Linked DNA regions of Neodiprion lecontei. The protein of the gene in region 2 binds, or shares a complex with, the protein of the main gene of each other region. Links are inferred from orthologs where the notes say so. Each region holds a gene or a part of one and is shown on either strand. Other genes may lie near its edges.

Region 1 (3,759 bases), on a different chromosome or scaffold from region 2:
GCCAAAGGAATCATGGCCTCCCGTAGCAACAACGCTGCCGTCACATTGGAAACTGTGAAAAAAAAACCATTCAGTCAACCATTGTTTCTGTCACCACATCAAGATCGACTGAAAAAATTTCTTCAAGAATAGTAAAACTATATAATAGTATCAACCTTATACAATGTACTGCCTTGGCATGACCCTCTTGATGCAAAACTTCAGCTTGTTGTTCCAGATCCCACAGTCGCCAAGAAGCATCGTGGCAACAGGTTCCTAAAAAGCGACCCGATGGATGAAATGCAATCCTTGATACTCTATGGGGCTCATGACCTTCAACTTCTGCTAACGGCTCTTCACTTTTGCCTCCACCCCACAGCTTAACACTTCCTAGGAGAACATAAAGATAGAGATGACTATATAGATAAATCAGCTAAGCAACAGACCAGTCATAATACAATCTTATAGTTAAGAAGCTGAGCATCCACTCTGTAAGTATGAGCAAGTCAATCACTGACTGATAATATGACCGATTTAAGAATGCATAGATGAATTTATGCATGCAAATGAGCAATACTTTCTCATGTGAATAAGCAGTGTAATTTTGATGTGAACAGATTTCTGGTGAGCTATAAAAAAATCTGCTATCGAATTACAAAATAGATGCATTTCTTCATGAGTCAACAATACATGTCCTTCACCATGTCAATAATTACCGTCTGAAGCACAACTTGCTAGAACACATGTAGGCGACGCATTTTCTCCCAGCATGTCTTCAGTGAGTGTTGCATTCGGATGGAAAACAATACAACTTACATTACAGGTATGGCCCCTGAGGGTTCTGGCAATTGAGCATTCAGGTACAGACCAAATTTTGCAAAGCCCAGACCAGGAAGATGTTGCCAGTAATTTTGAATTCGGACTGAATTGGCAAAATGATATGGGACGGCTGTCTCCAATTTGGGAGCAATAAATGCTGAGAGCCTGTAATTTTTTCAGAAGTTCCTGCCGACGTGCAGTACGTGTAGCCCCTGGAAGCTCTAATTCTTCTCTAGATTTTTCAAGCCGATCTCTTGCCCTGGGAAGTGAATACGCTAAAAAAAAAAACATAACTGTTACAGTGCAAACTTTTGATTTGAATCAATACGTTTTGATACTTACATGCTATCCACGAGCGGGCAATTTGAAGGGAATCTGGTCCTTCGTGGTACCAAGTTGATTCCGCATCTCGTTCTGTCTGATGCAATGGCCGCTCCTCGTCCTCATGTTTTTTTTTAATAGCGTCTTCACCTAAGCTAGCCAATAATTCTCTCAACCTGGACCTTCTGTCTGCTGGGCCTTCACCAAACAAACAAATTGGTTCCCCTAATTGGCGCAGATTGTTTTTCACTTCCGAATCATCGGTGGAAACATTAATCTGCCTGGCTTTTTTTCTCCGCTCAAATTCTTCGAGCAAAGCTTGCCTGTCTTTAGACATCTCATCTTCAAGTTCCATGTATTCATTTGATATGTGCACATTTCCCAGGGCAGCAGCAGTTGTTGGCGTATCTGATGGACTCCTATTATGATCTCTTTCCTCATCTGAAGATTCTGCAGATGTAGCTGTGAGCCGGGCACGTTCAGCTTCCTCAAGGGATCCATAATGCACAGTTTTTTGCTTTTTTACATAAACAAGGTCCTCGTCGTCGGACATTTCAATTATATCCAAGTAAAAAAATGTATAAATACGTTATTTTGTTTAAATACTTCACAAAATGCGGCTTATAACGTTTATAATCTAGGTTAGGCTACGACCATTCACAGAAGTTTTGAATTAACGGTCTACAGAAATGCTATAAAGTAAAGCAAAGTATTCTTTGATTATAGTGATTTCACTTGCTGCAATCAATTCATCTTTTTTCGAACGAATATTAAGTGTTACACAGTCACGTTATTGTAAATTATCATTGACAGCCATACTGGACGCTATTCCAGGCATAGACTACTTTTTCACCGATGGTACAGATCAGTCTAGAGCACGATCGTACTTACAGGTCTGAAAACTCGGGAGGTGGGGGGTCTCCAGCTTTGTCCATAAATTGTATAGTTCTAACATTGGTTTCATGCACGATTCGCGAGGCATCCCGGGCACTGATATATGTATGTATATATACACATGCAAATCAGTGTGATTTGAGTTCTTTGAGAAAGTTGAAAACTGTCGACTTAAAATGTTCAAAATAATTAAGCAAAGTCCCACACAATCTTATGCAGGTAGACTTATATCCCTTATGTCCAGCATTCATACTCGGAGCTATAACCATATTATTGCATTCTTGTCTAATGCCATTGCAATTGATTAACTGTAGTCCATGCTGAGTATTCAATATTCTTGTGAAAGTTTTGTGAAGCAACAAATCATTAGCACTTGCCCTAAGGGGATATAGCCACGAATTAAAAAAGAAGACATTATGAATATCTTAAGGTGCGAGAAGCATGTCTCAGGAAATTTGCAACCACGCTACACTGATTTTTTAAACTCCAACAGGGTAGCGACAATTTTGCTCAAATAAAATTCTAGACTTTTCCCTGACTTTTCCCGTCGAAAAATTAAAAATTCCCTGATCTTTTTCTATAAACCTTAGGTCACTTTAGTTGGCTTTTATGACCAAAAGCTCCAGAAATTATGCACCTGAAATATATAAATTTGGATTCAAGAACAGTGGGGTTTCGTTTCACATAAATAATTACAAATTGAACAATATCATTTCCGAATGTTAGCTTAGCTGAATTTACGAAGCATAGTTGAAATTGAAAACTATTTATAAAAAATTACGTTTTTCACCGTTCTCCATCATAATTCCCTGACTTTGCCCAATAGACGAAATTCTCTGATTATTCTCGGTTTTCCCGGATTCTGGGCACCCTGTCCAATATATGTATATGCACAGTAAAGCCTTAAACAGTGTTTCAACTATGTACGCCACTGACTGTTACCTCAGCAAAGTAAGTAATTGAACCTTTACAACACTTGTATTTTTCGGATGGTCAAAGTGGTAAAATTAAAGAAAAAACGAAACTGGTACACATGTTACTTAAATATTTAATACTATTGTGAGATTATCACTTGATACTTGTTTCCTCTTACTGTGACAAAAATTTGACTGATTTTAAAGAGATAAATATTAAGCACATCCAAGATGCAATATTTTCCCTATTACGAAGTGGCAAAGTCAAAGGACGGCATTTCCAACGGGGCAAGCGGCGGCAATGGGGCAAGACTTATTGAACTATCTTCAGTGTTTGAGTGGAGGGACTCCTTGTCAGGGGCTGTCGCTGCTCTCAATTGTTCAGTGAGTACTTTAATCTGTTGTTGACTAGAGTCGAGCTGGTTCAATAGTGTTCCGATTAACAGTCGCAACTGGCTGTTGACTGTTCGCAGTTCTTCTAGCACAACAGCTGAATCTTTTGGACGTTTTACCGGTATGGTTTCATTTTGCGGTGTCAATATTAGGTCTATCAAACTGTCTTGTTCATCCATTGCTCTGTCGATAGCTTGATGAAGAAACTTGTCATCTTTGTCGACGGTGACAAAGTTCCTCGAACTCAAATTTGCAGAGTGCTTCGCAATCTGATTAGACAGCAGTTCTTTTTCGTGTGTTTCCAATGCTGCTTTGTACTCTTCGTATTGAACCTGCTGCATTCTGTAAAAGTAATCGAAGTGTTCAGATATATCGAATCGCTTTCAAATTCAAAACTAGAAGCTTCCGAAAGTTACAGCTCGACTGAACAAATTTACGA
Region 2 (3,759 bases):
ATCTCAAAGTCAGCTCAGATGGGCAGGTAAATAGAGCACTCGGTATATCTACTTGAAACATAGGCCGTCGAATAAAATTTATGGAATCGCGAAGAACACTCGCCATCGGATATAAACTAATTTTACTAACTTTGAATAATGCGATTAAGACTGTCGTTATCTTTATCATCATTATTTTCCCTTATATAAAAGACAATTTACTCTTACCTACATACTTATGCTCCAAATGGTAGAATTATATGAGCGCCATTATTTTTAATGTTGACGAAGCGAAGATGATCAACACAAACTATGACTTTTTTATTTTGAGGAAACCTGCAGTGTTTGAAAAGTACTTTGCATTCGCCTCGTTGACTCTCTTCTCTGCTGCTTGAGGATTCACGATTTCCAGACCCTGATAAAGAATTGAGTGTTTATACTTATTGTCCAATTATACAGAAGCGCATAGAAACTAACGAAAAAGAAAAAATAAAAAATAAAAAAGAATCAATAATCAATATAATTGTACTGTTCGTAACTATACTAGACTTTATGAATTGAGTTGTGAGTATAAAAACATGACGGAGACTTGATGTATTTTAACGTTGATAACTTTGAGATTTTTCGTCATCCCAGAGATAAAAAACGTGAGAATTTACCTGTAGCGGGGTGAAGGCAACGCTCGACGCGGTACCGGAAACCTGCTTTTTGACTGTCGTACTGCCGCCCCATTGCTGCTGCTTCTGCAAGTTTTTTTGGAGAGTTTTCGATATCCGCACCTTCGTCTTTTCATCAATTTGAGGTAGTCTGATACGGCCTGTTCCCGTTTTGCCAATAGTCCCTCTGGAGTAACCCAAGTCCTCTTGATAAGCGTCATTCTCAATCTGCGGAGGGAGAAAAATAACGAAATGCAATTTTTCTCAAGATTTCTGAAATCTGCGACGGCCTGATATCTTGAACTGTAGAAAAGACTTACGTCGGCGAAGTTCATCCGGTTCGCGTGCTTTCGAAATTCTGTGATCGCATATCGTTCCTTCATTTTCCGTACACGTTTACCGCCTCGCTTCTTTCGACCAGGGTCGATCGGTTTTGGAAGAGGTTTTATGAATTTTACTGGCGGGGGTTCTTGCAGCTTATCCAATTTTTTTTCTATTTCGTCCCTCAGTGCCTGGCCAATGTGACCATCCGTACTCTCGTGACAAGCATCGACTCGCGCAGCCAGCATACTCTTTGTGGCGACAAGCCTCGCTGCCTTTCGCCGCAAGTCCTGTGAGCACAAAAGCAAGTCCAAGTTGAGCAAAAATCAAGATAGATCAGATTGCAAGGTGGAAGAAATCATTGAAACACTTACAGGCGGTGTGTCCTGCACTATGTCAGAATAATAAATAAATCCGGCATGGGGGAGGGCAGCCACCTGGGAAAATCCAGAAAGCATTTTTTTTTGGGAGCCCAAAACCAGAAGATTGCAAGCTGGCATTTTAGATAGCTTTGTCAAACCGCCAGCAATCCCTGTAACAATTGAAATGGACAAAAACGAATTCAAATTTTCAAGATAATAAATTGATACAGTGACTTTGTTTTCCACAGTTACCTCACTTACCCATGATTTTTGCCGCCGTCGAAGCTCCAACGATTATAGAAAGGTTCGGTGCTATGAAGGCCATTCTGCTTTCAACATATTCGAATATTTTCAGCTTGCAATTATTCAGTTCTACGGCCATATTGCAGGCTTCACAAATTGCCTCTTTTTCCTCTTCAGTCATAAGTTGGCTAATGAATATAACGTAGATTATTGAATGAAAAAAAATTATAGTCAGCAATTGTTTAACCAGGATGCTAAACTTGATTGGAAAATTCACCCTTGAGTAGTAGATGCAGTCACCGACACCACCATGATAGTAGCTTGCGTTAAGAACTGCTGCAGCTTCTCATTGTTCTTAGCTCGATCCAAATCATTCCCTAATTCACAAACTGTCATGACATACTCCAATGGACCAACTACCAGCGACTCCAGCTCAGGAAATCTTTTGGAGTACTTATCCCTTGTAAATCTATGAATGATTGCTGAAAAATTAGGGACCTATACATATTGGCAAAATTTGGTATCCGTTAAAACTTGTCACATTGCCCTAACCAGAACCTACTTTTTGACTGGCAATTACAAAATGAACCACCCATTGAGCGTGTTAAAGCTGTTGCAATCTGCGGGAAACTTACCAATTTCATCGTCGATATCGACGGCAATATTGTTTGCCTCGACGATGAGCTGATACTCAGGGTCGGATTCAACCGGACCTACGATGTCGGCTGACTTTCTTGGTATTTTGCCATAGCTGTCTATGAGAGAAACGACTTTCTGGAGCTGCGGAGAGTCGCGCAATTTTGCGAGTTCTCGAACGGAAGCAACTTTGACCTCTGTAATAAAGTATCGAATTTAATGTGAAGTCTGAATTATCCGGTAACTGATATGTATATGCAACAAAGACCGTGGATAGTAAACCTGACCTTCTTCAATCGTCTTAGCAACGGCTGCAGGTGGAATAAATTCCGGCTCAGCCTCTTCCATAAACTTGTCCGCGTCATCGTTTTCCTCCAAATCGGCCAGCAGCTCGTCAGCCAAAGACATCTTGGATTAATTGGGAAGTTTATTTCAAGAGGTATGTACTTGGAGGATTCTGCAACTTCAACCTCAATTCCTAAACTTCTTCCATCCTAATCTGAGCAACCTTTTTGTTTACGTCTCACCAAGTCTCGCGCGACGTTGCTGTGCTCAACCCGCGAAGTAATACTATTCGTGGCTCAACCGTTTATCATAAACAGAGGTTAATGGTGCCAATAGCCAATGCCCACTGTGTGTATTTAAAAATGGCCGATTTCACGTTGTTCCTGTATTTAGCTACAGATGGCTGCAGAGACAAGCGAATAACTTGAATGAACCAAAGAACGAACATTCTGTCACTTTGAAGTTTGGCGGCAGGTAACAATCAGGAAGTATTTAGATCTAGAACCCAGTTAGGCACGCCCTAAAGTAATTTCGAACCACAGTCCCTGTCCAGGAATTTCCGCAAATGAATCAGACATGTCCGGTTCAAAGGTGAATAAGCATTGAATACAGAAAACAGTCATAATAGATCCAAACTTATCACGTGCCACAGTCATCTCACAAATTTTCAAATTCGTTAGAATTTACAGAAGAATAAAGGTAGTCGGATGTCATGGTCCTTTGACTGTGACGTGAGTGAGCGAGATGTGGTGACACCTGCGAAGCGACCGAAAATAGAAACAGAAGTACCGTCCCTAGACCGAGTGTCACGAACGATTGATATTTATGACAAAAAAACACATATAAACAGCTTACCGGCTCTTCTCAAAGCTTGCGAACCTCAAGAAGCCTCAGAGTTATCTATTAGCCGACAAAAACAAAGAGAAATATACGATTGGTTGGAATATAAAACTATCAAGAGCAAGCCATGCGCTTTGATTCTCTCTGGTCCTTCGGGTTGTGGAAAAACCGTTAGCTTTAAACTACTTGCCAAAGAGAAGGAGTTTGAATGTGTCGAATGGATCACACCGGCTGATCAAGGCGCGGATGAAAATAGTAGGTTGATCAATACTGTCGATAGCATAAAAGACATTTATTTTCAATGATTAAAAATAGGAGAAACACTTGATGTTGATGATAAATACTCCTTAAATAATTTACTACCTCTTCTCATAGATAGATTCACGAGGCAAGGAGACAAATTTCAAGATTTTATGGTCAGAACTACAAGATACGGT
Region 3 (2,752 bases), on a different chromosome or scaffold from region 2:
TTTATTTAAAACGTTTGTATCTATGCAGATATAGTTATATAACATCGTTTTTCGGCTATAAGCATTACTCATTTTTCCATCGCAAATAATATTATCATGCAATCGAAAATAAATTAATATCGTTATCTATAGAATAATATGCCTATAATTAACTTTAATACAAGTGTTTTATAATTTATGTAAAGTATTAGTGGGTAATATTACAAGATCGAGACTTGAAATAATCAGCAGTATCTTATTAACCTACCGTTTTATTCATATTTTTATTTGATCCAACAGTGCTCCCGGTGTTATAACTACAGTTCCAATGACTTAATCATGTTAGGGCACTGAGAAAAATTGAGTTGTTTTTTCTTTATTTCCATTTTGATATCAAAAATAAATAACCTGTTTCAATTCAATTCAGGCACATTTCCTTAAAGTTAAAAGTGCATTGAAAAAAAAAACCAAATATGTTGTAAGAACACGATTGCCAATTAGTAAAATGTGGAATAAAGTAAGGAGTATTCAGAAAAACGCTGTCTAAAATTTTTTTAAATTTATTTTAATGCGCTACAGAGCTAAGTGGTTCAGCTCGGATCGCTGAAAGATCAATTCTTGCATCCATCTCATCGTCTAGCTCACCAACGATTGCTCTGTAAATACAGGAATATTGGTTTACATGAATTACTGACATTCTTGAAAATGTACATTATTTTATTGTGCGTACATACACGTTATCTCCTCTGATAATATGAAGACCTAATACAACTTGTTCGACACCTTGCGTCACGCTGTACACACGCTCATGTGATTCATCAAGAATTAAATTGATTGTCTGATCAAATCCTTTCAATGTACCCTGAAACATAAACATAGTTCAGAATATTCGATGATGTTAATGAATAGGAGTAATAGAATAGATAAATAATAAAGATTTTTATTATTATCGACGCCTGCGCATCATTGATGTGAAAATGCTACACTCAGTACAATGCTACATCCAATGTTGACTACAAATAGCCAAAAAAAAATTTTGACGTCACATTTGAAGAAATGTATTCCTGTAATTATATCACCACTTATTGCAAGGATACACTTCTTGGTATTATTCTTGTATGAAACAACAAAGGTTTGGATGTTTTGGTTAGACATTGCATGTAGTACTGCGCTGACTGTGGCACTTTCACATCAGTGTTTTGTAGGCTGTGATCATAGCCAAAGTAAATGACATTTAATGTTGTCAATCAAGATTAATTATAGCATTCTCCTAAGACTGATTAATGTACAAGAGTTATACAATTAGTCAATTATTTTTCGTCCTACAAAAGGCTAGATTCACAGTGCCTAGGCAGCTGAGAACGACTGTGTAGACAACAGCGTGGTTGGCAGCCAGTAAATTTTCATAGCTTTACAGGAACACACTTTTTGGTATAAAGCATCTCCATCAGATGGTGCAGTGAAATCCAACTTTTTATGTTATTTCCCAGAGCAAGTTGGGCTTCGTCATACTCTCGTCAGATTTAATAAATTACGATATTCTGTTGCTATCCGAAATCACACACGAGCTAATAACTACGCTATCGGTTCGCGACTGCGTCACCACAGCGATTCGTTTCACAGAAAAAAATTTTTTAAAAGCTAGATCATATTATACTCACGATAAAGTTCCTACCATCGGAAGTTATTATTGAAACAGTATCTAGTAAACATTGAGGAAACATAACCTTTATGTAATTAAATTATAAATACAACTTCGGATAGGAAAAAGGATACGGTTTACGTAACTTTCAAGTCCTGAGGCCATTGTTGGTAAGGGTAGAACAGGTTGGCCAATGTAATCAGTAGAAGCAAAATACTTCAACAAATCGTTTTGTTTGTTTGTATTATAGCGTTTTCCACTTCACCAGTTAACGCTGCAACGACGCCATCAGTGTAATCGCAGAGTTGCCAAATAAATAGCACCGCAAGTCACCAAAAGGAAGCGCACAGCTAACCTGATGTCTTGAGGTGGGATTTAATGGGCTGCAAAAATTGTAGCAGTAGCAGTAATCTGCAGTAATCCCATAGTAATCCACTGAAAGTTACTGGCGCTTTCGGCGTAAGTTTTTGCTGTTTAAGGTGCCGCTGACCCACTGATATATATGTACACTGGATTGGATTAAGCGTGGTGCCGTCACGCCAATTGAACGGTAGCCATTTTGTACAGATTCTTGTCACTTCAGATATATATATATATATATATATATACGTGATATATGTATGTGTATATAATCGATTGCGACGGAAAATTACAGTAACAATTATTGAGGTAACAATGAGTACCTGCGTTTTTTGCAAAACAAAGCAATCAAAATATCGTGGGCGATCATTTCACAAGTGAGTATACAACGCTGAAGCGTTCTGCAAATGATAACTTGCAGAGGTTATGTCAGCATACGAAGTATTTACTAATTATATTTAACGAGTATTATAACGTACGAATCTTGTCAGTAAAAATTCACAATATTTGAATTATGAACCGATCTTATTATAATTGAAATTGAAAACTCGGGTATTATTGACTGAGGGATTAAATTATAATTCGATATGTAGATTTCCCGTGAAAGATGTGTTGCGCGTTCAGCATTGGTTAGAAGAAATGAAGAGGGAGGACTGGAAGCCAAACCGAAATAGCACATTGTGTTCAGCTCATTTTACAAATGATTGCTTTGATAGGACAGGATTCCTAATTACATTGAAAAAGAACAGTGTACCAACTATATTTGACAAC

What was found.
Region 1: U4/U6 small nuclear ribonucleoprotein Prp31 (region 2) and U4/U6 small nuclear ribonucleoprotein Prp4 share a complex: the UniProt entries of both Homo sapiens proteins name them as parts of the U4/U6-U5 tri-snRNP complex. The link is inferred for Neodiprion lecontei from reciprocal best matches to the Homo sapiens genes PRPF31 and PRPF4.
Region 3: U4/U6 small nuclear ribonucleoprotein Prp31 (region 2) and U6 snRNA-associated Sm-like protein LSm8 share a complex: the UniProt entries of both Homo sapiens proteins name them as parts of the U4/U6-U5 tri-snRNP complex. The link is inferred for Neodiprion lecontei from reciprocal best matches to the Homo sapiens genes PRPF31 and LSM8.

What each region holds. Positions count from the first base shown.
Region 1 is NC_060265.1:31,360,769-31,364,527, forward strand, and holds the start of U4/U6 small nuclear ribonucleoprotein Prp4, read right to left. Parts: upstream 2,892-3,759; 5' UTR 1,673-2,891; coding exon 1,141-1,672; intron 1,074-1,140; coding exon 696-1,073; intron 370-695; coding exon 156-369; intron 53-155; coding exon 1-52. Other genes in the region: nuclear receptor-binding factor 2, read right to left, coding at 3,176-3,662. UniProt on the Homo sapiens protein: Plays a role in pre-mRNA splicing as component of the U4/U6-U5 tri-snRNP complex that is involved in spliceosome assembly, and as component of the precatalytic spliceosome (spliceosome B complex).
Region 2 is NC_060263.1:191,821-195,579, reverse strand, and holds U4/U6 small nuclear ribonucleoprotein Prp31, read right to left. Parts: upstream 2,782-3,759; 5' UTR 2,606-2,781; coding exon 2,485-2,605; intron 2,395-2,484; coding exon 2,197-2,394; intron 2,044-2,196; coding exon 1,839-2,043; intron 1,750-1,838; coding exon 1,580-1,749; intron 1,489-1,579; coding exon 1,331-1,488; intron 1,247-1,330; coding exon 956-1,246; intron 864-955; coding exon 639-863; intron 395-638; coding exon 290-394; 3' UTR 157-289; downstream 1-156. Other genes in the region: cell cycle checkpoint protein RAD17, read left to right, coding at 3,059-3,073, 3,163-3,577, 3,698-3,759. UniProt on the Homo sapiens protein: Involved in pre-mRNA splicing as component of the spliceosome. Required for the assembly of the U4/U5/U6 tri-snRNP complex, one of the building blocks of the spliceosome.
Region 3 is NC_060261.1:26,109,901-26,112,652, forward strand, and holds U6 snRNA-associated Sm-like protein LSm8, read right to left. Parts: upstream 1,905-2,752; 5' UTR 1,787-1,904; coding exon 1,756-1,786; intron 1,682-1,755; coding exon 1,641-1,681; intron 842-1,640; coding exon 714-841; intron 636-713; coding exon 545-635; 3' UTR 524-544; downstream 1-523. Other genes in the region: THAP domain-containing protein 1-like, read left to right, coding at 2,297-2,358, 2,575-2,752. UniProt on the Homo sapiens protein: Plays a role in pre-mRNA splicing as component of the U4/U6-U5 tri-snRNP complex that is involved in spliceosome assembly, and as component of the precatalytic spliceosome (spliceosome B complex).